Linked DNA regions of Callithrix jacchus. The protein of the gene in region 5 purifies or fractionates together with the protein of the main gene of each other region. This does not show direct contact. Links are inferred from orthologs where the notes say so. Each region holds a gene or a part of one and is shown on either strand. Other genes may lie near its edges.

Region 1 (4,141 bases), on a different chromosome or scaffold from region 5:
AGGCGAGATCGTGCCTCTGCACTCCAGCCTGGCGACAGAGCAAGCCCCCCCCCCACCGCCCCGTCTTAAATAAATAAATAAATAAATGGGCCAGGCGCAGTGGCTCACGCCTGTAATCCCAGCAGTTTGGGAGGCCGAGGCGGGTGGATCACAAGGTCAAGAGATCGAGACCATCCTGGTCAACATGGTGAAACCCCGTCTCTACTAAAAATACAAAAAATTAGCTGGGCATGGTGGCGCGTGCCTGTAATACCAGCTACTCAGGAGGCTGATGCAGGAGAATTGCCTGAACCCAGGAGGCGGAGATTGCGGTGAGCCGACATCGCACCATTGCACTCCAGCCTGGGTAACAAGGGCAAAACTGCGTCTCAAATAAATAAATAAATAAATAAATAAATAAACAAACGGCTACATAGATAGCTCATGCTAGAAAGGAAGGACTCCAAATTTTAACCAAGCGCAGATGTGCATGGAGGCCAAGTCCTTTTCCTTCCATACTCTCCTCATACTGACCCAACACACCCATTCTGTACGTGAGAAAACTGAGCCCCAGAGAAGGGAATTCACACACGCTTGAAGCCAAGCTGGGGCCAGAATGCAAACCAGCTGATCTCCAAACCCTCGTGTCAAAGGTCGTCTTCCCATGAGGACATATGCCTTAAAGGATCTGACAATCTATACCACCCTACAAGTGACGGAGAGGGGCAAAAACAACCGACTAAGGAGAGAAGCAAGGAGCAGAAAAAAGCTAAAGAAGAACTGTGAGAATGGTGTGCTTGTGAGGAGGGTGGGAAGGGAGCCGCCTCCTTTTGCCTCTCTTCCTACCCATTGACGAAACAGAACGGCTATCCAGCGTATTTAAGGGAGCTGAGTCTTAGCCAGCTTCATGTGTGTTTTAACCCTTAGCTAAATCTAGACAAGGCTAAGGCAGGCCAGGTGTACACTTGAGGCAGAAGTAAAAATTCCCAGTGCGGACCAAAACTGGAGTTGTTCGGGCGGTAATGATTTGAGGTCGGTTTGAAAGAGAAGCTGAGAAAGCGGCCGAGGGGCGAATTTGGCTGCACAACACGCCTGTGCCACAGAAGGGTACGGCCGCGGGCCGCCGGGGCACAGTTTCCTACCAGCTCAGGCGGAGTAGTAGACGCAGCTGCCTCCGCCCGCCACGTGACCCGTAGTGTTGTGGTCTGGCCCGCGTGGGTGGCGGGAGCGCCTAGAGGGCGGGGGTGGCGATGGGGCGGGTCACGTGACGGGGTTTAAATCTCCCGCAGCCGGAGCCGCGGGGGCGCCAGTGCCGCGCGTCAAGCGGGAGCAGAGGAGGCGACGGAGGAGGGCCAGAGAGGCAGTTGGAAGATGGCGGACGAGGCGGCCCTGGTCCTTCAGCCCGGCGGCTCCCCCTCGGCGGCGGCGGCCGAGAGGGAGGCCGCGTCCCCGCCCGCCGGGGAGCCGCTCCGCAAGAGGCCGCGGAGAGATGGTCCTGGCCCCGAGCGGAGCCCGAACGAGCTCGGTGGGACGGCCCCGGAGCGTGAGGTGCCGGCGGCGGCCGAGAGCTGCCCGGCGGCTGCGGCGGCGCTGTGGCGGGAGGCGGAGGCAGGGGCAGGGGGAGCGGCGGCGGCGGGCGGGGAACAAGAGGCCCAGGCGACGGCCGTGGCTGGGGAAGGAGACAATGGGCCGGGCCTGCAGGGCCTATCTCAGGAGCCACCGCCGGCTGACGACTTCTACGACGAAGACGACGACGACGACGACGACGAGGGCGACGAGGAGGAAGAGGCGGCGGCGGCGGCGGCGATTGGGTACCGAGGTGCGCAGGGTGCGGGCTGCCGGAACTGCGCATCCCCTCCTCCCTCTCCCGGGGATCTTCCTGGCGTGGGGTTGAGGGGGTCTCTGGGACGCGCCGGAGACTCGGGGCAGGCTCCGTGGCGTTCTCTTCCCCACCACGGCCCTCCGCTTAATTGCGCTCCTCCGGGGCTGCCGTTCCTGCTGCGGGAGCTGCGGGTGGATTCGCTTTTTCTCTGTCTGTGGCCGGCCTGGGAGGCCTTGCGCTTTGCGCAGCAGCCAGGTCGGGAGGCTCTCGCAGTCGCTTTAAAATAAGTTTTCTCTTTTCCCTCTTACTCTTTTAGCATATTGCTTTTGTTAGAGCTTTTTTTTTTCCCCCTTTTTTTTGGGGGGGGGTTGCTTTTTTCTCCCCGCCCTCCCCCCAGGACACTTAAGTCTGCAACTTTTTGCTGTCCCCGTTCGTCGGCATTTTCAATTACTTTTTGCAATCTGACACTTGTGCAATTTGCTTTTTTTTAGGGTCTATATTTTTATGCCTGAAATTACAATTTTTAAAAGAGCAAAGCTGTTTCTGTAGTCACAGCCTGCAAAATATAAAGAACATGGCTGTTCCTGAAGACATTACCATTCTGTAATGCAGTTAGTAGTGGGCATGGGAGAGTCATACTACTTTTAGAGCAGTTCGTATTACTTTTATTTTAATCTTGCTCTTGTGTACGGTGACGGTGTTGAGGCGAAGCATACTCTTTTGTATGTATGTACTGAGACACATTTAACATTGCTAGTATAATGAAGCAGATATGTTGCATTTGTCGTGTTTTTGAAGGTTTTATATTTTTCATCTGAGGAATTTCTATTTTTGAGAGGTGTTCATCTTTATCAATATTTGGGTCAGGCCGGGCGCAGTGTCTCTTTCTTGTAATCCCAGCCCTTTGGGAGGCCAAAGCGGGAGGATCTCTTGAGCCTGGAAGTTTTAGACCAGCCTGGGCAACATAGTGAGACCACCTTTCTACTAAAAATTTTTTAAAAAGATTAGCCGTGCATGGTGGTGCACAGTTGTAGTCCGAGCTACTGAGGCGGGAGGATCTCTTGAGCCCAGGAGTTCGAGGTTGCAGTGAACTATGATCGCGCCACTGCACTCCACGGTGGACAACACAGTGAGACCCTGTCTCAAAAAAAGTAATGTGTGCCTTTTTTTATTATTATTAATTTTTTTTAAAATATAGAGATGGGGTTTCATCACGTTGGTCAGTGTAGTCTCGATCTCCCGACCTCAGGTGATCCGCCCGCTTCGGCCTCCCAAAGTGCTGGGATTACAGGCGTGAGCCGCTGTGCCCGGTCAAGAGACCCTGATTTCAAGCAACACAGTTGAATGCTAATTTAATAATTGTGTTGTTAATACTGTTTATTATTTAATAGAGGAAACAATTCAGAGATACCTATGTTTAGTATTATATGAATTTAAAGTGCACTTTGCCAGTTTTATTTGAATGACATTTTTGTGTAAATTTCCATTTATTACAAGTTTCACGAACTCTATTGTTTGTGGTTGATACTTTCTATATGTTACTATCTTTTCTGTTTAAGTAGACTTAATTTATTTTTAGATTTTGGCCGAAACTTTTAGAGTCAGAGCAGAATTCCTAAATATGAAGAAACTGTACCTATGAGAAGTGCAAGCCGACCCCATAGCATTTACACATACAATATAAATGTTAAATGCTTAATGAAAATGATTACACTATAACCCTTTATGGGTCTTCATACATATTAGGTGCACATTGTTTTGGTAGTCTTGGCTGACTTTTGGTTTGTTTTGCAGATAACCTTCTGTTCGGTGATGAAATTATCACTAATGGTTTTCATTCCTGTGAAAGTGATGAGGAGGATAGAGCCTCACATGCAAGCTCTAGTGACTGGACTCCAAGGCCACGGATAGGTATGGCTCAGAGCTGTTAACTTAAGAGAGTAAATGTATGCTTTTTGTTGTTGTCCTTGTTGGTTTTTTTGAGACAGTCTCACTCTGTCGCCCAGGCTGGATGGAGTGCAGTGGTGCAATCTGCAACCTCCACTTCCTGGGTTCAAGCAATTCTCCCGCCTCAGCCTTCTGAGTAGCTGGGCTTACAGGCACCCACCCCCATGCCTGGCTAATTTTTGAGTTTTTTTTTTTTTTTTTAGTGGAGACAGGGTTTCACCATGTTGGTCAGGCTGGTCTCAAACTCCTGAATTTGTGATCCGCCCGCCTTGGCCTCCCAAAGTGCTGGGATTACAGGCATGAGCCCTTGTGCCCGGCCTTTTTTTTTTCTTCATCCAGTTAGACTGTCTTTCTCACTTACTTCATATTTCTTGTTTTTTTCACTTTTATACT
Region 2 (4,300 bases), on a different chromosome or scaffold from region 5:
CTTTCAGCTTTCTTTCTTTTTTTTTTTTTTTTTTGAGACAGAGTGTCACTCTGTCACCAGGCTGGAATGTAGTGAGTGCGGTGATCTCAGCTCACTGCAACCGCTGCCTCCCGGGTTAAAGCGATTCTGCCTCAGCCTCCTAAGTAGCTGGGAGTATAGGGTGTGCCACCATGCCCAGCTAATTTTTGTGTTTTTAGTAGAGACAGCATTTCATCATGTTGGTCAGGATACTCCGGATCTCTTGACCTCGTGATCCACCCGCCTCGGCCTCCAAAAGTGCTAGGATCCCAGGTGTGAGCCACCTCGCCCAGCCCTGGTTTTTTAGCTTTCAATGATGATCAGTTGGTAATTGATGATCTGGTGGAGTGGTTCTCAATAGGAGAGTTGGGGTCAATTTTACACTCCCTTATACCTGGCTAATATTCCCCCAACCCAATGGTAAAGCTATTGCACAGTACTTGGCAATGTCTGGAGACAATTTTGGTTGTCACAGCCTGGGGGGAGGGTGCTACTGGCATCTAGTGGGTAGAGGCCAGGGATGCCGGTAGACTTCCTATAATGCACAGAACAGCGTCCTATAACAACGAATTACCCGGCTCAAAATGTCATTAGTTTCCAGGCTGAGAAACCTGCCCTCCTATCGCGGGATAATCCCATTTTCTCCTGTCTAAAGAGACTCCTACTTAGTCATCCTGGGTGACTGAATCACGGAGGTAGGTTTTGGAGTCAGAAAGGCTGGGTTCTGTCACTTTTTTACAGAGCCTCTGGTGCAAAGAAGGCATTCAAAAAATCCTCAACAATTGAAAAATTGAATTTAATTACCTTGTGTAACTTGGAGTAATTCACAGAAGTCCGAACTTCTTTTTCCTAACCTGTAAAATGGAAGTAAAAACCCTTGACCGAGAGCTGTTTTGAGGAATAACTGAAATAACAGTTAAAGCTGTCGCACAGTACTTGGCTCACAGCAGCCCCTCGAAAAAACATTAGTTTTCTTTCCCTTTCTTGTCAGTTTCTCCCTCTCCAAACCCGCGTGTTGCTTTTCTTTTCAATTTTTAATTATTTGTCTGTAGCCCTCCTTTGCGGTGACAAACTCGCTTTCTAACCCAGGTTCAGCCCGTTTATTGGCGGAGTGACCTTGTGCAAGTCACTTTTCCCCTGTAGGCCTCGGTTTATTCTCCGTAAAATCAGAAAGTTGGCCTCCGATCTCCAAGCACGTTTCCCACGACGAAGTGGGCCTAAGTTTACCAAGCTGCTTTCCTCCCCCGGGAGTGATGGTACGGTCCCCGGGCGGCTCCCCACCCATCTGTCGCAGACCTTGGTACAGGCCCAGGGGGCCTTTAGCCGCTTCTCCAGGCTGCCCTTGCCCCCTGCCGAGTTCCGGGCCCGTGTCTGCGCAAGCTGATTGGCTGGAGCGGTGCCCGGGCTGCGCGTCTATAGGTGAGCCCAGGAGGGGACGGGCGGGGCGGGCCGGAGACCCGCCCCCTCCCCCCTGGGTCGGACGCTGAGCGGAGCCGCGGGCGGGAGGGCTGACGGACCGACTGACGGGAGGGACGGGAGGCGAGCAAGATGGCGCAGACGCAGGGCACCCGGAGGAAAGTCTGTTACTACTACGACGGTGAGCACCGTCCTCGCGGCGGGGGCGGGGCCGGGCCGGGCCGGACCCGGGACCTGGAGGCTGAGGCTGGAGCGCCGAGGGGAGGCTGCGGGAGGCTGAGGCGCTGGGGAGAGGCTCGGAGAGGAGGCTGCGAGGGGGAAGTCGAGGCTGAGGGAGGAGGCTGCGAGAAAAGAAGATCGAGGCTGAGACCAAGAGGGGATCGCGTGGGGGAAGCCTGAGATAATCTTGGTGGAGAGATTCTGAGGAAGTCCGATAGGGAGAGTTTGAGTGGGACTCCTAGAGGGGAGGCTGGATCTGATGGAGACGGCTGCGAGGATAAATTTTCCAGCCGAGAACCCAAAGCTCTTCCCTGCCCCGTCCCTTCCTCATCTTTTCTGAGGGAAGAGTCGTGCACGACTGGTCGCCCGCCTCCCCTCCCCCAGCCTCTGAGCTGGGCCTGCGGTTGCTGCTGTGACGTTGGGGCGCCTGGGGTTGCAAGGAGAAGGATGCAACCTGTTAGAACACACTTCTCACTTGATCTCTCAAACTGGTTACTGTGTTCGAGAAAGTGTTGAGGGGCTGGGGCCGTGGGGATGATCGGGTCACCCTTCCCAACGACCGAAGTTCTCTCCTTGTCAGAGCTCAGAGTGTTAGGGGAACACAGATTAGAGGCACTGAACTCCACCTGTGGAGTCAGCGAAGGAGGGGACATTTCAGGACCATCTCAGTTAGGTCCTGAAAAACAGGAGTTCTTAGCCAGGCACGGGAAAGGCAAACATAACAGCAAGTTCAGAGACAAGAAAGAGGACAACACCTTTGAAAAACAATCATTTGACCGGGCACGGTGGCTCACGCCTGTAATCCCAGCACTTTGGGAGGCCAAGGCGAGTGGATCACTTGAGGTCAAGAATTTGAGACCAGCCTGGCCAACATGACAAAACCCTGCCTCTGCAAAAAATATAAAAAGTAGCCAGGCGTGGTGGCACGTGCCTATAATCCCAACTGCTTGGGAGGCTGAGGCAAGAGAATTGCTTGAACTCAGGAGGTGGAGGTTGCAGTGAGATGAGATCAGGCCACTGGACTTCAGCCTGGGCGACAGAGGGAGGCTGTCTCAAAAAAAAAAAAAAAAAAAAAAAAGAGGGAGACTCTTGTCTCAAAGAAAGAAAGAGGAAGAAAGACAGGCTTTGTAACAGTATGGCTGAGGCATAGATTTGGGGGCCTAGTGTAGAAGGTGGGGAGCAGGGACGAGGGAAGGGTTGCAAATAATGAGGCTGCAGAAATAAATAGGGACCAGCCAGGCATGGTGGTGTGTGCCTGTAATCCCAGCTACTCTGGAGCCTGAGGCAGGAGAATCCCTTAGAACCTGGGAGGCAGAGGTTGCAGTGAGCTGAGATCACGCCATTGCACTTCAGCCTAGGTGACAAGAGTGAAACTGTCGCAAAAAAAAAAAAAAAAAAGAGTTGTAAATAGGGACCAGACCATGAAGGGCTGGGCATGCTGTCCCAAGGAAGTTGGACTTTATTGAGGGCACTTGTGAATGATTGAAGTTTTATGCAGGTTAGTGACATCATCAGGTTCATACCTTAGAAATTAAAGTCATGGGGGCCGGGTGCTCTGGCTCACTCCTTTAATCCCAGTACTTTGGGAGGCCGAGGCAGGCAGATCACTTGAGGCCAGGAGTTCAAGACCAGCCTGACCAACATAGTGAGACCCCGTCTCCACTAAAAATACAAAAATTAGGCTTGGTGAGGTGGCTCACACCTGTAATCCCAGCACTTTGGGAGGCTGAGGCAGGTGGATCATGGGTGACTAACATGTCGAGACCCCATCTCTACTAAAAATACAAAAATTAGCTGGGCATGGTGGCACGTGCCTGTAATCTCAGCTACTCAGGAGGCTGAGGCAGGAGAATCGCTTGAACCTGGGAGGCAAAGGTTGTAGTGAGCCAATATCACGCCACTGCACTCCAGCCTGGGCGACAGAGCGAGACTCTGTCTCAAAAAAACAAAAACAAACAAAAAAAAGAAGTTCATGACTGTAGGGGTAAGGGAGAAGACATGGATCCCAAGTTCCTGGTGTGGGCAATTTTTTTTTTTTTTTTCCGAGATGGAATCTAGCTTCGTCACCCAGGTGAGAGTACAGTAGCATGATCTTGGCTCACTGCAACTGCAACCTCCACCTCTCGGATTCAAGGGATTCTCCTGCTTCAGCCTCCTGAGTTGCTGGAATTACAGGTGTGTACCACCATGCCTGGCTAATTTTTATATTTTTATTATAGATGGGGTTTCACCATATTGGCCAGGCTGGTCTTAAACTCCTGACCTCCAGTGGTCTGCCTGCCTCAGCCTCCCAAAGTGCTAGGATTACAGGCATGAGCCACAGTGCCCAGCATCTGGTGTTGGCAATTTGATAGTGAGTGTTTAGAGGTTTGGAGAATGCCATGTCAGTTGATAACTTTTTTTTTCTTTTAATTTCTAGAGACAGGGTCTCAATATATTACCCAGGCTGGTCTTGAACTCCTGGGCCTGGCCTCAAGCAATCCTGCCACCTCGGCCTCCCAAAGTGCTGGGATTACAGGCCTAAGCCATTGTTTTTTGTTTTTTTTAGAAATAGCTATTGATAACTGTTAAGATGTTTAGGGGACATCCAAATAGAGGCATCCAGTAGGCAGTTTAGAAGATAGAAATTTTGGTTGGGCGCGGTGGC
Region 3 (4,300 bases), on a different chromosome or scaffold from region 5:
CCATTACAGCTTTCATGGAAGGATCTGAAACTTATTCAGGCTGAAGTGTAAATAGTCCAAAGTAGGCCCTACAAGTTACTTTTCCCTGGGGCAGTTTAACTTGTTCCTTGGAACAGGTCTTTCAGCTATTGAGGCCGTAGGCTCAAGCTAAAGAGACAGCTGAAAGTCGGAGAACTGGAGTCTAGTTCTAGCTTTGTCACTAATTTGGTGTGTGGCCTTGGGCAAGTCCCTTTTCTCTGGGTTTCATTTTTCCAATCTGTGAAATGAAGACAAATACCCTTGACTAACAGAGCTGGTAAGAGTATCAATAGAGAGACTGTGAAAGCGCTGGATAAGTTACTTATTGTAATAGATCTGTGAGGACTAAAAAGAATATAACTAACTAGAGCTTTGAGAAGCGGACCATGGAGAAGGTGTGGGGATAAAAGGGAATCTGGGAACAGTGTGGGAGGATCCTGCCAATTGAGAAGAGGTTTTACTGTTTGGGGGAGGAAGGAAAGAGGCACTTCACGCCCCAGGAAGTTTCCTACATCTCCAGAGTTAGGGTAGGGACTGCGGATTTACTCTATCTAATGCTAATCGCATGTTTTGGAAGAGGGTTCAAATTCTTCAGAGGAAAACATGTTTTGGAAGAGGGTTCAAATTCTTCAGAGGAAAACAAATCCCATTTCTGAGGGCGTTTCCGATCTCCCAGGTTGGGCCTGGGACTTGAAGCATCTGATTTGGGGAGCCTTATGTTTGTGTTGGGGGCGGAGGTTCGTTGTTTTGTTTTGTTTTGTTTGAGATGGGGGTATTGCTCTGTAGCCCAGGCTGGAGTGTAGTGGTGCAATCACGGCTCACTGGCAGCCTCAATTTCTGTGCTCAAGCGATCCTCCTACCTCAGCCTCTCTAGTAGCTGGGGCCACAGGAGCACGCCACCAAGCCCAGCTAATATTTTGTATTTTTGGTAGAGACGGGGTTTCGCCATGTTTTTAAGGCTGGTCTCGAACTTCTGGCCTTAAGCGATCCGCCAGTTTTGGTCTCCCAAACTGTTGGGATTACAGGCGTGAGCCACCGCGCCCGGCCCTGGGGGAAGTTCTTAAACACTCCCAAATCTGTATGGGTTTGTATCTCAATGCTTTTCCCTCCCTCTGCCCCCACAGTTTGTCCCATGTGGGTGTTGTGTCTTGCCCACTGTGAAAGGGAATGAGGGGAGGTGGGGGAAATCTCAGATCCCCCAGCAGGGAAGTTCTTAGTCGTTCTGTGGGTGCCCCTCCCTTCTCCATAGATCTCTTGTCCCCTAGAATGAGTTTCCTGTATTCCCGCCTGACTCACCCGCAGTTGCTTCCTCTCCAGTCTCGGAGTCCCTCAGGGTTACTCAGGGCAACTCCATAGCAACTACTTTTGTCGCCACTATCCCGCAGGCGCCGTAAGAACTGACGCTATGCTTACCGGGACCTGTAGTTTGTCAGAGGCGGAGCTTCAAGGCCGCGGGTGGCGCTGGGATTTGTAGTTTTCTTTGCTTTCAAATCCAGGCCGGGGTCCGGAAGCGGTGATACCCCTTCTCTTTCCCAGTGGCCCTCAAACTTCCTTTCCCCGGGTCTTCAAGCGTGCCCCGCGTAAGACAACTGCCGACAGAGGCCAATCAGAGGGCAGCACGAGGGGGCGGAGCCATAGTTTAAACTAATTGTGCGCTCACAGCGCTGGCCAGAGCCCGGGATAAGGTACGATTAGTGGGAATCGCAAGGCGGAGCGGGAGCGTGCAGCCAGGTAACCGGCGCGGGCCCGCGTCTGGCATGCGGCCTGCGCACCGGGGTGCTGGAGAGGCCGGTGTGAGCGGAAGGCCTCCTCCGTAACCGAGTCCGAAAGGGCACAATTTGGGGGTAAGGTTTGTTAGGAGAGCCGCCTGTCTGAGGGGGAGGAGCCGGGGGGGGTGCCATAAAGGGGAGGGTCTGTTTGGGGGCGTGTCTGTGAAATTAAGTCTGAGGGCGACGGGGGTCGGGGTTTGGGGGTAGGGTAGTGCCTGAAAGGCTTGTAAGCGAGGGGTCGGGTCCTGGAAAGTCTTCAGCGTTTATCGTTATCAATAGCAGTAGTTATGGTAGTGCAGTAGTCAGCATTTTTCTGAGCTACACTGTCCACAATGACCTCCCAATGGTTTTTCAATCCTCTAAGCACCTGTTATACTTTAAAGATGGGGAGGCCGAGGTTTTTAATGTTTAGCTTGGCCAGGGTTACGTAGCCAATGCGAGGTTGGCTCTACTTGGGGTTTTGCCAGTTGGGCATAAATGAAGACGGGGAAGGTGCTTTGTGGGGGTGCGCATTGTCTTGGGCTGGTCGGTGTATTTTGAGCCTCACTTTTCATATATGTAAACTTACCTACTTCCTGGGGTAGTTATCCTGGTCAAAAGAGGTAGGTCTTTTTATTTTTTATTTTATGGGCTTGTTTTGTTTTGGTATTTTGTTTTATTCACAGATAACATGTTTCATACACTCACCTCGGAGGGTACAAATTTATGATTATAAGTGATGTGACTGTGTGAAGATTGTGGGTTGATGCTCCCGCCTCTGGGTACTCTCTTTTGCTTACCTCTGAGTTAGCACTTGTCATCTGGTATTTTAAGAGTCTCTGCGTGTTTGTCTGCCCTTCTAGATAATGAGAGACTTTTTCGTCACTGTATCCTAATGGCTAAGGCAGGATTTGCGACATGTAATGGGCATTAATGTTTGCTTTGGAATAATGTGTTTTCCTGGACTGAAAGGGCACAGGAACTTTGCTTTCCCATTTTCTTTTTTTTTTTTTGAGACGGAGTTTCGCTAGGCTGGAGTGCAATGGCGCAATCTCGGCTCACTGCAACCTCCGCCTCCTGGGTTCAGGCAATTCTCCTGCCTCAGCCTCCGGAGTAGCTGGGATTACAGGCACGCGCCACCACGCCCAGCTAATTTTTGTATTTTTAGTAGAGACAATGTTTCACCATGTTGACCAGGATGGTCTCGATCTCTTGACCTCGTGATCCACCCGCCTCGGCCTCCCAAAGTGCTGGGATTACAGGCGTGAGCCACGGCGCCCGGCCCCCATTTTCATTTAGTGGCATTTGAACCTAAGTATTAAGCTGTCCTCTTTCCTGGAATGTCACTCCCTCTTGAAAACGTGATGATATTTTCTTGCCTTAATACATACCTCCCTCTCTCTAGTATCTGTTCGCTGGTTCTATGTTTCCAAACTTCTGGGTTGTCTGGTCGTTAAAGCTTTAATAGTAAGGGAGTTGGGCCTGTCTACTTTGTGGAGATCTTTACTGCTGTGAATATATGGGAACCGGGGGTGAGCATGAAAATCATGTAAAGGAGCTTTCAGTCAGCACGGATGGGTGTATGTTTCCTCTCTCCCTCTGCTTCTGTGTGGTATTTTCTCTTTTAGAAGAAGCACACACGTTGTGAAAGCTTCCGAAGTACTCTTTTCTTGGCCTAAGTTCAAGCAGTGATGACTAATTGTAATGCCTAATCTTAGTTCAAAGCAAAAAACTGTGCACCCCAAAAGCTTAAAGATCTTACCTGAAAGCTCATTAGGGAACATAGAATTCTTTTTTACATGTGGAATATGGAAGCGGGAAGAATGCCTTGAAATAAGACTTGAATTCTCGAACTGTTAGGATGAGGGCAAAGCCCTCCTTAGGTGGCTAAACAGAGCTGATCAGGGGCTGTTTGGACAGCTGTGTCTAATTGATAAAATTATGATCAGAAGATATAGGTTGGTGCAAAAGTAATTGCTGTTATTGCCATTGAAAGGGTGTGGTCATTTAATTCAGCCTCTAACCCACTAAACGTATGAAAAGGTGTTGCCCAGACTCAAAATGAGGACTTTCTAGAATGAGACCATTCCCAAAGTCAATCCATCTCGATGTTGAGCAATTCTATAATTACTACTTGTGCTCGCCTCGGCAGCACATATACTAAAATTGGAATGATACGGAGAAGTTAGCATGGCGCCTGCGAAAGGATAACACGCAAATTCGTGAAGCATTCCATATTTTTTTATTAAAAAAATAATTATTATTATTACTTTGTATCTGGGCATGGTGGCTGGCTATGTCATCCCATCTACTCTGGAGGCTGAGGCAGGAGGAGCAGGCGGAAGGATTGCTTGAGGCCAGGAGTTCCTGGCTAGCTTGGGCAATATAGTGAGACTCCATCTCAATTAAAATGTGTGTTGTTTTACATTGTTAGTGATTATTTTGTTTCACCCATATATGTCTACTGTTTGTCCAGTTTTCCTTGCATTTTATTCCTTCCTTTCTTATTATAGATACATACATCCTTCACATGT
Region 4 (3,959 bases), on a different chromosome or scaffold from region 5:
GCCCACCACACATACATTCAGTCAGGGTCCCTTAGGAGCCGTGAGAGCCTGTAGACAGGATGGGGATCTTCAAAGGGCTCAGGAGACACACCGGCCTCATCCCAACTCTTTGCCGGCCTACGGGGATCTTTTTCAAGGAAACTCTAACCAGGTACCTCCTCAGCTGAAAATCCTTCGGTGGCTCCCCAGTGCCCTTGAGGCAAAGTCCAGATTCCTCACATCTGACCCCTCCGGGCCTGCCCACCCCACCCCATCCCTGGGAGCTGCTCTCCAGGAGTTACTCGGAAGCAGTTGCCAGTTCTTCCCTCGGGCCTTTCCCCTTGATAATTCTTCACTTCCTCTGGGCAGTCACCCCGACCCCCTGTCAGGTGACCCGCCTCTTAACGGTCGCCGCGTCCCGTCTCTCCCCCACCAAAGCACACTTCCCTTTGCATTGTAATTGTCTGTTTACTTCAGCTGTCTCCCCCATTGGACGGGTAGCTAAACTTCGAGAGAGGCTCTGAGTGTCCTGTCCAGGGCTGTGCCCCGGCCCCAGGTACAGTGCCCCACACGTGCTGGACGCTCCGTAAACACTGGCTAAGGGAAGGAACGGGCGCACTTCGCTAGGCTGCTTTGCAAAAAAGCCATGGCATTTCATGCTGCCAAGAGCCACGTGTAGTGTCCGTTTCCTCGCATCCTCCCCAGCAATATGCATTTCCCTCCTCAATGCCACGCTCTCCAGGCGCCAGCCGGGCGGAGGAAATTTCCGCCCCCTCCCAAGCCCGAGGCGGGGGCGGGCTTCGGAAGGTCAGGTGTCCCGGCCCGCGCGCAGCGCCAGGGGGCGTCAGAAGCGCTCCGACCGTGGGGCGCTGAGCGGGTGGGTGCGAGGGGTCCCGCCTCGCAGGGGCCTAAATGCGCCCGATGTCCCGCCCCGGACAGCCCCAGCACTGGGAACGACCAGCGCTGCGCTCCCGAACCCCGCCTTGCAGGAGCCTCCGCCCGGGCTCCCAGCGCCACGCGGCGCGAGCCGGGTCCGCCCCCGGCGCACCTGCTCGAGGCGTGGCCTTCGGCGGAGACGTGCCTCCGATTGGTGCTGAGGTGACAAAGGGGCGAGGCAGATAAGACCCCTCCCCTGCCGCCCCCTGGAGTATTTAAGGGAGTTGGCGGCGCGGGTGCACTCATTGCGCCGCGGCACGGCCTAAGCGGTGGTTCTCCTGCGCTACTTCTGAGCGACTCGGCGACCCCGGTGCGTTGGCCACCATGCCGCGCTCTTTTCTTGTCAGGAAGCCCTCCGACCCCAATCGGAAGCCTAACTACAGCGAGCTGCAGGACTCTAATCCAGGTGCGTTGGAGGGGTCCCGGGCTCCAGGAGATTTGGGGGAGACAGGCGAAGGCTGCGTGGGGGGCACCTGAAGGAGGCGGCCTGCTTGGGCCAGGATCGATTCGCAGGATGTTTTGTGGAGCATTGAGGGCTCGGGCTCGGGAGACCGGGCAGGTAGGTCTCCAGTCCCAGGGATCTATCTGAGTGGTTTGGGGGGTGCCGTGTAGCGGGCAGGGGTCTTGCGCTTGGGGGGCCTTTGTAGCCTGCGAGAGGCGCAGGAGCTCCCGAGGGGAAGGAGGCCTGTGCCAGGAGGGCCCGCCGGACGCTGCTGGGGAGAGTCCGGAGTCCAGAGTGTTGAGGAGAGGGGTGGAGAGACCAGATGTGTGTGAGGAGGGGGACTGGGGTGGAGTGGTGGCTCGGGGGCTGGGGTAATGGGCTTCTGGCTTCAGGCTGGGGACTTGGGACTCAGGAGACCGAGATCTGGAAATGACCCTCTTCAACTGGGGGTCCTACCTGTGAGAGACTCAGGTTGGGTGACCTGGGCGAGGAGGGCAGGAATTTGGTCTGCCCTATGGATAATTTTATTGATCTAATTATGTGTTGAGAGTCAGCCTCACCCAGCCCCTGGCCAGCGGTGGGCTCTAGTTTGTTGATTGAGTGAATGATTTAATTAACGCCTGACTCTGCTCTTTCTCCCTCAGAGTTTACTTTCCAGCAGCCCTATGACCAGGCCCACCTGCTGGCAGCCATCCCACCTCCGGAGATCCTCAACCCCACGGCCTCGCTGCCAACGCTCATCTGGGACTCTGTCCTGGCCCCCCAAGCCCAGCCAACTGCCTGGGCCTCCCTTCGGGCCCAGGAGAGCCCCAGGGCGGCAGAGCTGACCTCCCTGTCAGATGAGGACAGCGGGAAAGGCTCCCAGCCCCCCAGCCCACCCTCACCGGCTTCTTCGTCCTTCTCTTCCACTTCGGCCTCTTCCTTGGAGGCCGAGGCCTATGCTGTCTTCCCAGGCTTGGTCCAAGTGCCCAAGCAGCTGGCCCAGCTCTCTGAGGCCAAGGATCTCCAGTCTCGAAAGGCCTTCAACTGCAAATACTGCAACAAGGAATACCTCAGCCTGGGTGCCCTGAAGATGCACATCCGAAGCCACACGCTGCCCTGCGTCTGTGGCACCTGTGGGAAGGCCTTCTCTAGGCCCTGGCTGCTGCAAGGCCACGTCCGGACCCACACTGGTAAGTGCCCCTCCTGGCCCGCCCCACTGCTTTCTCTGCCAGCTTTTGTGAATCTGGGCTTACTTTTCTCATTCTCAAAGTTGTAGACACGGAGGCCCCGAGTCTCCTAACTTCTAACTCAAGTTCAGGGGCCCGGCTCTCTGGAAACGTTTGGCAGAAATGTTCCTTCATCAGCTAAGCAGATGGGCAAAGCAGACACCTTTCCAATCCCCTGCAGCCAGCTTCTCAGCCAAATGGGTAGGAGCTGGATATGGGAAAGGTGCCACCAGCACCTTGTGGTGGTGGCCAGGTGCGAAGGGGTCCGCCTGGCCCCACCCTCTCCTGATCCACCCCTCCCTAGCCAGACAGGATGTTGTCAGACCCCCCCCCCACCTGGCTCTGAATCCTGCTTTGAGAACTTTCTCAAAGCTTGGTCTGATGTTTCACTTCTGTGAGCCTCATTTTCCCTATCTTTCAGATGGGCATGAGAACAGCCTATGGGGTTTCTATGCAGGCTAAATGCAGGAATGCGTATGGGAAGCACCTGGCAAAGTGCCTGGTACCTGCTAAATGCTCACAAAAATGCTTCCTTGCCGTTTGCTCGGCTTCCCTGCTGTGTGACTTTGGGCAAGCAACTTAACCTCTCTGAGCCTCAGGGGAGGATTATGATAGGTAAGTTTTAGAGAGTGACTGTGAAGGTTGATAATCACTTTATGCTAATCACTTTGCAGTAATTTATCATACCTGGTGGTTCTCTGGTCTGCTTCCCCACCCCCACTCAGTCCTATCTGGCAGACCAGGAAAGGCATCTTTGGGGCAGACAGCGCAATCATGTCTTGGTGTCTTGAAAATTTACTAAATGCGTAGGAAACTTTCTGGACGTGGAGAAAAGGTAGAACTTTTTAGAACTTGAATGGTGGTGACCACCATGCCCAGAGCTGCTCTGGAGAGTGACGGTTGAGAGAGGAGATTCCAGGGGTTCACCCCGGGCAGGTTCTGCCATTTCCTGACCCAGCACCTGACCTCGGAGTGGTGAGGGTCAGTGCGGTGTCTGGAAGGCCTGGCCTTTTGCAGGCTTTATTGGCATCTTACTCAACTAAGGCTACCCATTTCTCTTCCTTTGTGCACCCTTAGCCCTGATTTTAACATGTAAAGGTCCAACTGCCTGGCCTTCTGGGTGCCTGCCTAGCTCACAGGGCTCTATTTTGGGAGCGTTGAACCCCTCAGGGTGCTGCTCTGCTGTCCCCCCTCCCTTGCCCCCAATCCGGCATTATTTTAATGTAAAGGCACGGCTGGGACACAGAAATGTATCACTGCTGTCCTCATTGACTCCCATTGTGTGCCTTAATGGTGGGCCCAGTGGGTGGGGGCTGGGAGGAGCAGAGCAGGTGCATGGGGCAGCGGTGCCCAGCACCTGTTCCAGTCGCAGCTGCTGGCCCAGTGCATGGCAG
Region 5 (3,500 bases):
GTTGTTACTAAGCATGCAAATCCACAACCTGCAGAAGTCCAGGCTGAAAAGGCAGTTTATGGCAATTCATTTCCAATCAAACCCACAGACCTACCAAATGAAATCAATCTAAAATAAAGAAAAGTTGTTATATACAATGCCACCTGAATATAGGTGATCAGTGCTTACCTCTCCACAGTATTCTGAGATGAATTCATTTTTCTGCACAGGATCTTTGATAAAAATTCCCCAGCCTGCCACATCAGATGGTGCAAGCAATAAATGCTAGAGAAGAAAACACAATCATATAATCAAAGAAGAGGGTAAAGATGGACTAGGGACAAATTAGACTACAGAATAAAAACAAGGCTATTGCTGTCAATCTTCAGACCTGTTCTAAGGCAGTAATGGACACATACCTTCAGTCAGTGTGAAAGCTGCTGAGAATGGCTGGCTAAGTATGAAAATTATGTTTTTCTTACAGAGCAGAGAAGTATCACTGTCTTACAGAAAAAACTTTTGGTGCTGTTGGTTGTTTGCATTACTGCTGCACTTTGGCTGCCTGGTCTCCTCAGCCCTTGATTTTCTTAAGTAATTTACTTTCATCCTGAATTTAATATAAGGGCACCTCCAAATCACCTTCCTCTTCATAACTTTCCCTCTACTTCCGTCAAGTGACATCTATTACCAGTTCTAGATGCCCCCAAGGACACCCCGATTCTTCACTGGCATTTGTTCCCTCTGAAGCCCACAGCAGCTTTCTTTTAAATTTGTTCTTCCACCCTACTTCCTCAGGAAAATCTACCAAGAGGTGGCATCATGATCTTGTCAGTCCAGTAGTCTATTTTCAGCAGAAAGGCCAAGATGATCACTGCAGTAAATTATAGAGTTAGGGATGTGTTCCCAAACACATGCCAATTTTTCAACATGGCTCATTATTATGCTTTCATTCAAAATTTTCTTATGACCTTTACAAAGGCTTCCTGATCACTCAAGCTTCCAATCTATTCCTATTCTGGAACATCCTACCACTCACCTGTGAGGTGAACTTCCCAAATACTCTTCTGTGCAGAAACTAAATTATAGCTAAATATTGCTATGCAAATGAAACCTAATTGGTAAAAAAGTATCTACATAGTTTAACATTTTTAAGAGCTAAAAAATGTCTTACAAAGAGGACATGTCAGTATCAATAGTATTACCCTCTTTCTGAACAAACTGAGGAAGCAGTGCAATGGCAAGTTGTTTGGGGGAGAAATGGAGATTTTTAGGTCTGAATGGGTATTGCCATCAGAAACTGAACCAGCATCACCATGACCCAATGACCTAAATGGATATATAACTGCCTAGAGTAAAATGATTTAAATGCCTAAGAGAAAAAAATCACAGCTAAAAACAAAAACAAAAAACCTGCCACCCTGTACAGCTATCTGCCATAAACACAGACTTTGGTTTAAAGACACAAGGGAACAAAACAAAGAGAAGTTCAGTGTTTTGCCTGGAGCAGAACTGCTGGTTGAAGGGGACTTGTTGGTAAAAAGTGTGATCTCAATCATAAATAAATGGTCCAACAATCAAAGATATGTCTACTCCACACCCCCCAACACACACACACACACACACACACACACACACACACACACGCAGCATAAGAGCAGGTTAATGGGAGTGAGTGCCTGGGGGATTTGATCTCCTGCTCCTTTACAAATCTTGTGACTTTGGGTTTGCTGTACCGGTAAAATGGGGTTAACATTTATTCCTCACTCACAGAGTTATCAAGATCAATGAACAAATCCACTAAAGCACTTAGAACAGTGCCTGCTATTTTTACATGCTTAATAAATGTCAGTTATTATTATAAGAAGAACTGACTGAAGAGAAAAACCTATCATCTACCCTAAAAAAAAAAAAAAAAGACAAATTTCCCAAATACATGTTGTTGCAGTTTCTTTTGCTCAATAATTACTTCCTGACTGATACAGTTAAAATTACCTACATACAATTCCCAGAATTCAAATATATAATTCCTGGCTGGGTTTTTTCCAAGGTTATTAAACAGGAACTAAGTAAATAAAAACCTGCCGTGGGAAATTTCATCTTTTACCCTACATAGTAAGGAACCTATAAATACTATCTGATGAGAATGACTCTGTGTTTTGATAGAAATCACCATTTATTTGCATTAAGGATACTAGATAAAGAGAAATTCAAATCTCTATTAAACAGCTCCTATTTCAAATCTGATACCATGAATGGCTACTTCTCAGAATTTGCTGGTTTCTCCCACCAACACAGTACGGTGTTCTCTAGAATGAAGAGACTGCCCCAGAGTGCATTACCCAGAGAAAATTATCAACGCTTTCTCTCTTATCAGTTGTACCTTTCAAGGATCACTTTTACTTTTTGCCCCAGTGAAATCATCTAAGACAATCCTGAGATTAGCATCACTAAAAACAACCTTCCAGAAGCAACTTGTTGCTCACCTTTTTGGAGCCCCGCTGAATACTGCAGTTCTTACAAGACACATTTTTACTGTCCCAATGGTCAGCAGCTCCACAAGTAAGACAGAGGTCAGGGTCGCACTCTCGGACAGCCAGATAGCATGGGCACTGCTTGGTGTTGCACTGTGCTTTGCAGCGGCATCCCGGAAAGCGGTTTTGACCTTCAGAGAGAGGTGTGGAGGTTCTTCACTCATCATCAACACCATGACTATCACAATCATCACCATATGCAAGAACTTGCAGAAAGATATGTGGCAAGGGCTGTACTGAGCATCTGACTGACTCAACCCTCACAACCGCCTTATTACTCTACTGTATAGACAAGGAAATGGAAGTATTAACAGCGAAGTTAAAGCTGTTTGTACTGAAAAAGACCACCATTGAGTTGTTCTTCCATTTTTCATTTGTTAAATAATGTATATATTTAAAGTAAGTGTGAATAAAGGGTTTGGATGAAACAATATCCATGGTCCTTGACCATTCTAATAGCTCCTGGTTCTAAACACTCCCTTAGTATTCAAGCTTAATGTGCAGTTTCATTAAACAATTATTATAATCCCCTACATTTGTGCTACATTCCTTTATTCTGAAGACTAAAACCTTCCTAAACTCTGACAACTTCTGGTGCCCAAAAATTATGTGGGTAGCTCCTTCTAGATTTCTCTTACAATCTGTGCCGACTTTAATATGACTTAATTTAAATGATCAAAGAAGAAAAAAATAAAATTCGGATTCCTTTAATACAACTTTGCCTGCCTCACACACATAGACACACAACACCCAGGCAACTGACTGGTCACTGGCAGGGGCCAGGTATGGGGCTCAATCAATACCTGTAGAATCGATGAATTTCCTAAAGTAAACAAGGGAGTGCTCCTGTGTTCTCACTTTTTGATTTTTTAAATTGCTGACCAAAGGCCTATTTAGTTCTCATGCAATTGCATCAAAGCAACAAATACTTACACTCTGAACTACATTGACAAAACTTTTCACAAAAATTTTGTGCTATCACACAAGGGC
Region 6 (4,072 bases), on a different chromosome or scaffold from region 5:
TATGACACTGGCTTGCGTTTGAGGTGGATATCAGAAAAGAAAGCAGAAAAACCCAACTTGCCTTTTTCACCGGGAATATGGGGGCTTCTTTGGCCAAATCGTGTGCGTGCAGGATCCATGTGCTGGGCAGCGGGTCTCAGGGCCACAGCCTGTGGGCTGCATCCTGCTCTTCTACAGAGGCTTCTCCAGAAAAAGAACAGATGGAGAGGTGAAGATAAGTAAAAGCGGTATTTTAAAACTTTTAGAGTGCTGGGTTCTAAATTTATATTCTGAAAGACAATCTCTTTTTGAAAATGTTTTATGCAAGTCTAATATACATACAGTATCAACCTCGTTTTAGAAGCAATTACGACAGAACGTTGGAACAGAATTCACGTAATCGACCTCCTTCCAGAAGCTGCTACTAAATCAACAAGATTCAAATCCCTCTCCTTAAGAGGAGCAGCGCGAGCCACTGCAAAGACGCACGTTTCAGTCGGGCCATTCCGCAGTGGGAACTAAACCGAACGCAGGCTTTCCCACGCTTCAACAGACCTGTGATCTCAAGACAGTCTCTTCCGTGACGTGGAGGCACTTCGGACTACCTGTACCTTCAGACATTATGGTGTGTTTGGCCATGTCATTTGTCACAGGTGTAAAAATCACAACAATCGAGAGCCCGAAGCTGCTGGGATGAGCACCTGCGGCAGAATCGCGCTCCCGCGCTCCTTCCTGCTCTTTCCAAGAAGACAGGCGTGGCCGTCCAGCATCCCGCTCCCCCGGACCCCGCAGTCCTTGTCGGCAGGAGGCCCGGAGTGGTGCGAGCCGAAGGTGGCGTTAGAAAGGCGGCGTCCCGACCAGCAGAGTGACTCGGCCTCCGGCTCCCCCTCAAAGCGCCATCTTGTCGCCGCTTCCCTCAGGAGAAGACGAGCTCTTCCCTGGGACCTGCTTCGCGGCTTCCCTTTGCCCGAGTAACACCGGGCGGGGGCGGCGGCCTCTCTGGCCCTGCCGGCGACAGAGCGCAGGGAGGGGAGCGGCGGCAGACTGGCCTGAGGCCGGCGGGCGGGCGGCCTGTAGCCTCCAGGCGCGGCCTGCTGCGGCCCAGGCGCCTCCTCGATCCCGCCCCTGCCCGGCTCCGGACCTCCGCCTCTGCCGCCACCGCCTCCGGGAGCCCGGAGCCGCGTCCCGCCGGCGCCGCCTCTTCCGCCTGCTTGCCGGCGGGCCTGCGCGGGTCTGGGCGGCGTCCGCGCCGGGCGGGTCCGCTACGTCAGCGCCGCCCGCCCGCCCCGCCCCGGCCCTCAGCCTCGGCCTCGGCCTCGGCCTCGCAGCGGCGGCAGCGGCGGCGGCGGCAGATCCCTCCCCAGACATGGCCCTGGGAGGCGGCAGCACATGGCGGCCGCGGCGGCCATGAGCGCGCCCCCGACCCGCCCCAGTCCCCCCTAGAGGCCGCCGCCCCCGCCCGCCCGCCCGCCCGCGCGCCACGGCCCCACCGCCCCCGGCCCCGCCGCCCCCCGCCCGCACCCGCGCCCGCGCCCCCGCCGCCGCCATGGGCGTGCAGGGCTTCCAGGACTACATCGAGAAGCACTGCCCGAGCGCTGTGGTGCCGGTGGAGCTGCAGAAGCTGGCCCGGGGCAGCCTGGTGGGCGGCGGGCGGCAGCGGCCCCCGCAGACCCCGCTGCGCCTGCTGGTGGACGCCGACAACTGCCTGCACCGCCTCTACGGCGGCTTCTACACCGACTGGGTCAGCGGCGGCCAGTGGAACCACATGCTCGGCTACCTGGCGGCGCTGGCCAAGGCCTGCTTCGGCGGCAACATCGAGCTCTTCGTCTTCTTCAACGGCGCGCTCGAGAAGGCCCGGCTGCACGAGTGGGTCAAGCGGCAGGGCAACGAGCGCCAAACGGCGCAGCAGATCGTCAGCCATGTCCAGAACAAGGGCACCCCGCCGCCCAAGGTCTGGTTCCTGCCGCCCGTCTGCATGGCCCACTGCATCCGCCTGGCGCTCATCCGCTTCCACGTCAAGGTGAGGCTGGGGATCCGGGCGGGCCGGGGACCGGGGGCCGCGCCGCACCCTTATCCCCTTTCCCAGGGCGCAGAATGTCGCCCGGCCGTGGCGGCGCGGGGGGCGGCGAGCTCCCCCAGCCCTGGCTCTGGATAGCCGGGCCGGGCCGGGCCGCGCCGCAAGATGGATGGCCGCGGGTGCAGGCCGCGCGCTGCCCAAGCCCGCCTCCAGCTGTCCCTGTTCGGGGTCCACGGCAGCGTGGGGACACTTGAGGGCTGGAAGAGAGCCGCCCGGGACCAGAATTCGGAGGCAGCAGTGTCATCTTCCCCAATATCCGTAGTTTTTCCCGTCCTTTTTGAGGCGGGCAGGCTATCACTCACCTTTAACTTTGACAAAATACTCCCTTTTCTAATTTAGCCTGTTCTTTCCCAGCAACAGGTTCATCTTGGAAGCAGGCAGGATACAGAGTAATAGAGGGGGTTTCGCCGGGGCCCTTGGGGGCTGCAAGTATCAGTGCTGCCGCCGCCGCCCTTGCCAATGTTGTTAGCCCGGTGACAGCGAGACGTGTCTAAGGGCTAGTGCCCTGCCCGTATTCCTCTTAGAACGAGGTGTTTAGAGATCTTTCTATGGCTTTTTGTGTTAAGATTTCAAAGAACCGTGCACTTTGACAGGATGGGATTTTGTCAGTTCTGTGACTTCAAGTCCGTGTGAAAGAGGTCTTTAAGGCAGTTCAGTTTTGTAGATCCCATGCGAAAGGAGTCGCTCAAAGTCAGGGGCCGAGCCACGCGGGCGTGAACTCGCAGGATTTATTTTTCGGGTGCACAGTAAGTATTCAGTGACCTTCAGCGGCGCCCTGACGGGTGGGTAACCAGAGCTCTACATCACCGGCCTCCTCTGGCCCTTTGGCAGAGGGCTCCGCAGCTGGCACTGGGCCAAAGGAGAACTTCAGGACCCAGCAGTGACTGTGAAGATAAGTACATACATGATCCTGGACTTCACGTTGTGATTGCTTGCTTTTTTCATTGATTTTCTTGAAAACAAAATTTGGGGAGGCTTTTTGCTGCCTTAGCTCTTGCCATTCTATCTTCCATCTTGTTATTCTTTGACATTTCCTTGAAACTGCTGGAGCTGAAAATTTGTGAAATTCCGTCTTCGCGGTTGCCCCCACTGCCCCGCGACGAGATGGTGGTAGTTAAGCCTAAAATGATAGCGGAAGTCCCACCCAAGATCTGGTTGCAATTGGTGAGATGGTGTTTAAGCCGTGGGTGGAGGCGGCCGGCAGAGTCCCGATTGGCCCCTGCGCCTGGCAGACACACAGCTGCCAGTCCACAGGGAAGTTCGTGTGAGAGGAAGTGCCTGCCTCTTAAATCTGGGGCGCTCAGGGAAGTAAGGTGCTGCCATTTGTCGGAAGTGATCCACCTCCCGAATAGAGCGTAAAAGTGTTCATAGTTTAGTCTTGCTCAGAAATGGAAAAGACTGCTTAAAAGACAGGATGAGCTGTACTTACTTGCCTTTGATAACCGCACATCTATCTACTTAACTAGTCAAGTAACTTTCAAGGGAACACTGTTGACTATTACTTAGGATTAGAATTAGTATGTATGCATATGGTCACTGTATCGTGAAAGAACTGTTTTAATTCTATGATTTCTTTATCTCTGCACCCCTTTGAATGCCTTACACACCTAGTAGGTGCTCAGAATTCTGACCAATGTGTAACTGTTTGGAAACTAGATTTAAGCTACATTTAAGATCATCTTTTCCACTTAGGTTTCTGGACACTGGATAACTTTGTCTATATTTTGCTTTTGCTAAGCTTTTATTTATTGATCTAACATCATGTTATAGTGTGCATTGCACAAAATGAATATTGTAATGACTCAATTACCTGGTGGTTTCTTAGCTGGTCACCTTACCTTTTTGAAAAGTGCCTAAGAGATTTAGCTACTAGAAATTTCTCAGTAACCAAACAAGATGTCAGGAAGTTTGGGTACAATGATGTGGGGTTGGCGGGGGCGGGGGGTTTGGGGGCCTTTGCTTTCCCCACTGAAGAATCCTTTACGCTCTCTCACTCACGGGCTGTCCTCTTTTTAG

Evidence for each region. Proteins that work in one complex are often made in the same cells at the same time.
Region 1: the proteins of EZH2 (region 5) and SIRT1 purify together in Homo sapiens (affinity purification with western blotting; 3 studies listed by BioGRID and IntAct, with this or other methods). This does not show direct contact. The link is inferred for Callithrix jacchus from reciprocal best matches to the Homo sapiens genes EZH2 and SIRT1.
Region 2: the proteins of EZH2 (region 5) and HDAC1 purify together in Homo sapiens (affinity purification with western blotting; 7 studies listed by BioGRID and IntAct, with this or other methods). This does not show direct contact. The link is inferred for Callithrix jacchus from reciprocal best matches to the Homo sapiens genes EZH2 and HDAC1.
Region 3: the proteins of EZH2 (region 5) and NUMA1 purify together in Homo sapiens (affinity purification with mass spectrometry; 3 studies listed by BioGRID and IntAct, with this or other methods). This does not show direct contact. The link is inferred for Callithrix jacchus from reciprocal best matches to the Homo sapiens genes EZH2 and NUMA1.
Region 4: the proteins of EZH2 (region 5) and SNAI1 purify together in Homo sapiens (affinity purification with western blotting; 3 studies listed by BioGRID, with this or other methods). This does not show direct contact. The link is inferred for Callithrix jacchus from reciprocal best matches to the Homo sapiens genes EZH2 and SNAI1.
Region 6: the proteins of EZH2 (region 5) and FAM120A purify together in Homo sapiens (affinity purification with mass spectrometry, with the first as the bait; 3 studies listed by BioGRID). This does not show direct contact. The link is inferred for Callithrix jacchus from reciprocal best matches to the Homo sapiens genes EZH2 and FAM120A.

The regions. Positions count from the first base shown.
Region 1 is NC_133513.1:62,528,741-62,532,881, reverse strand, and holds the start of SIRT1 (NAD-dependent protein deacetylase sirtuin-1), read left to right. Parts: upstream 1-1,341; 5' UTR 1,342-1,350; coding exon 1,351-1,798; intron 1,799-1,841; exon of another isoform or gene 1,842-2,056; intron 2,057-3,595; coding exon 3,596-3,712; intron 3,713-4,141. UniProt on the Homo sapiens protein: NAD-dependent protein deacetylase that links transcriptional regulation directly to intracellular energetics and participates in the coordination of several separated cellular functions such as cell cycle, response to DNA damage, metabolism, apoptosis and autophagy.
Region 2 is NC_133508.1:68,903,847-68,908,146, forward strand, and holds the start of HDAC1 (histone deacetylase 1), read left to right. Parts: upstream 1-1,500; 5' UTR 1,501-1,566; coding exon 1,567-1,615; intron 1,616-4,300. UniProt on the Homo sapiens protein: Histone deacetylase that catalyzes the deacetylation of lysine residues on the N-terminal part of the core histones (H2A, H2B, H3 and H4).
Region 3 is NC_133511.1:68,865,551-68,869,850, forward strand, and holds the start of NUMA1 (nuclear mitotic apparatus protein 1), read left to right. Parts: upstream 1-1,500; 5' UTR 1,501-1,703; exon of another isoform or gene 1,704-1,891; intron 1,892-2,252; exon of another isoform or gene 2,253-4,300. UniProt on the Homo sapiens protein: Microtubule (MT)-binding protein that plays a role in the formation and maintenance of the spindle poles and the alignement and the segregation of chromosomes during mitotic cell division.
Region 4 is NC_133506.1:45,525,407-45,529,365, forward strand, and holds the start of SNAI1 (zinc finger protein SNAI1), read left to right. Parts: upstream 1-1,159; 5' UTR 1,160-1,239; coding exon 1,240-1,321; intron 1,322-2,001; coding exon 2,002-2,529; intron 2,530-2,609; exon of another isoform or gene 2,610-3,180; intron 3,181-3,959. UniProt on the Homo sapiens protein: Involved in induction of the epithelial to mesenchymal transition (EMT), formation and maintenance of embryonic mesoderm, growth arrest, survival and cell migration.
Region 5 is NC_133512.1:98,906,161-98,909,660, reverse strand, and holds part of EZH2 (histone-lysine N-methyltransferase EZH2), read right to left. Parts: coding exon 3,444-3,500; intron 2,642-3,443; coding exon 2,463-2,641; intron 265-2,462; coding exon 169-264; intron 1-168. UniProt on the Homo sapiens protein: Polycomb group (PcG) protein. Catalytic subunit of the PRC2/EED-EZH2 complex, which methylates 'Lys-9' (H3K9me) and 'Lys-27' (H3K27me) of histone H3, leading to transcriptional repression of the affected target gene.
Region 6 is NC_133502.1:71,100,896-71,104,967, forward strand, and holds the start of FAM120A (constitutive coactivator of PPAR-gamma-like protein 1), read left to right. Parts: upstream 1-1,272; 5' UTR 1,273-1,525; coding exon 1,526-1,999; intron 2,000-4,072. UniProt on the Homo sapiens protein: Component of the oxidative stress-induced survival signaling. May regulate the activation of SRC family protein kinases. May act as a scaffolding protein enabling SRC family protein kinases to phosphorylate and activate PI3-kinase.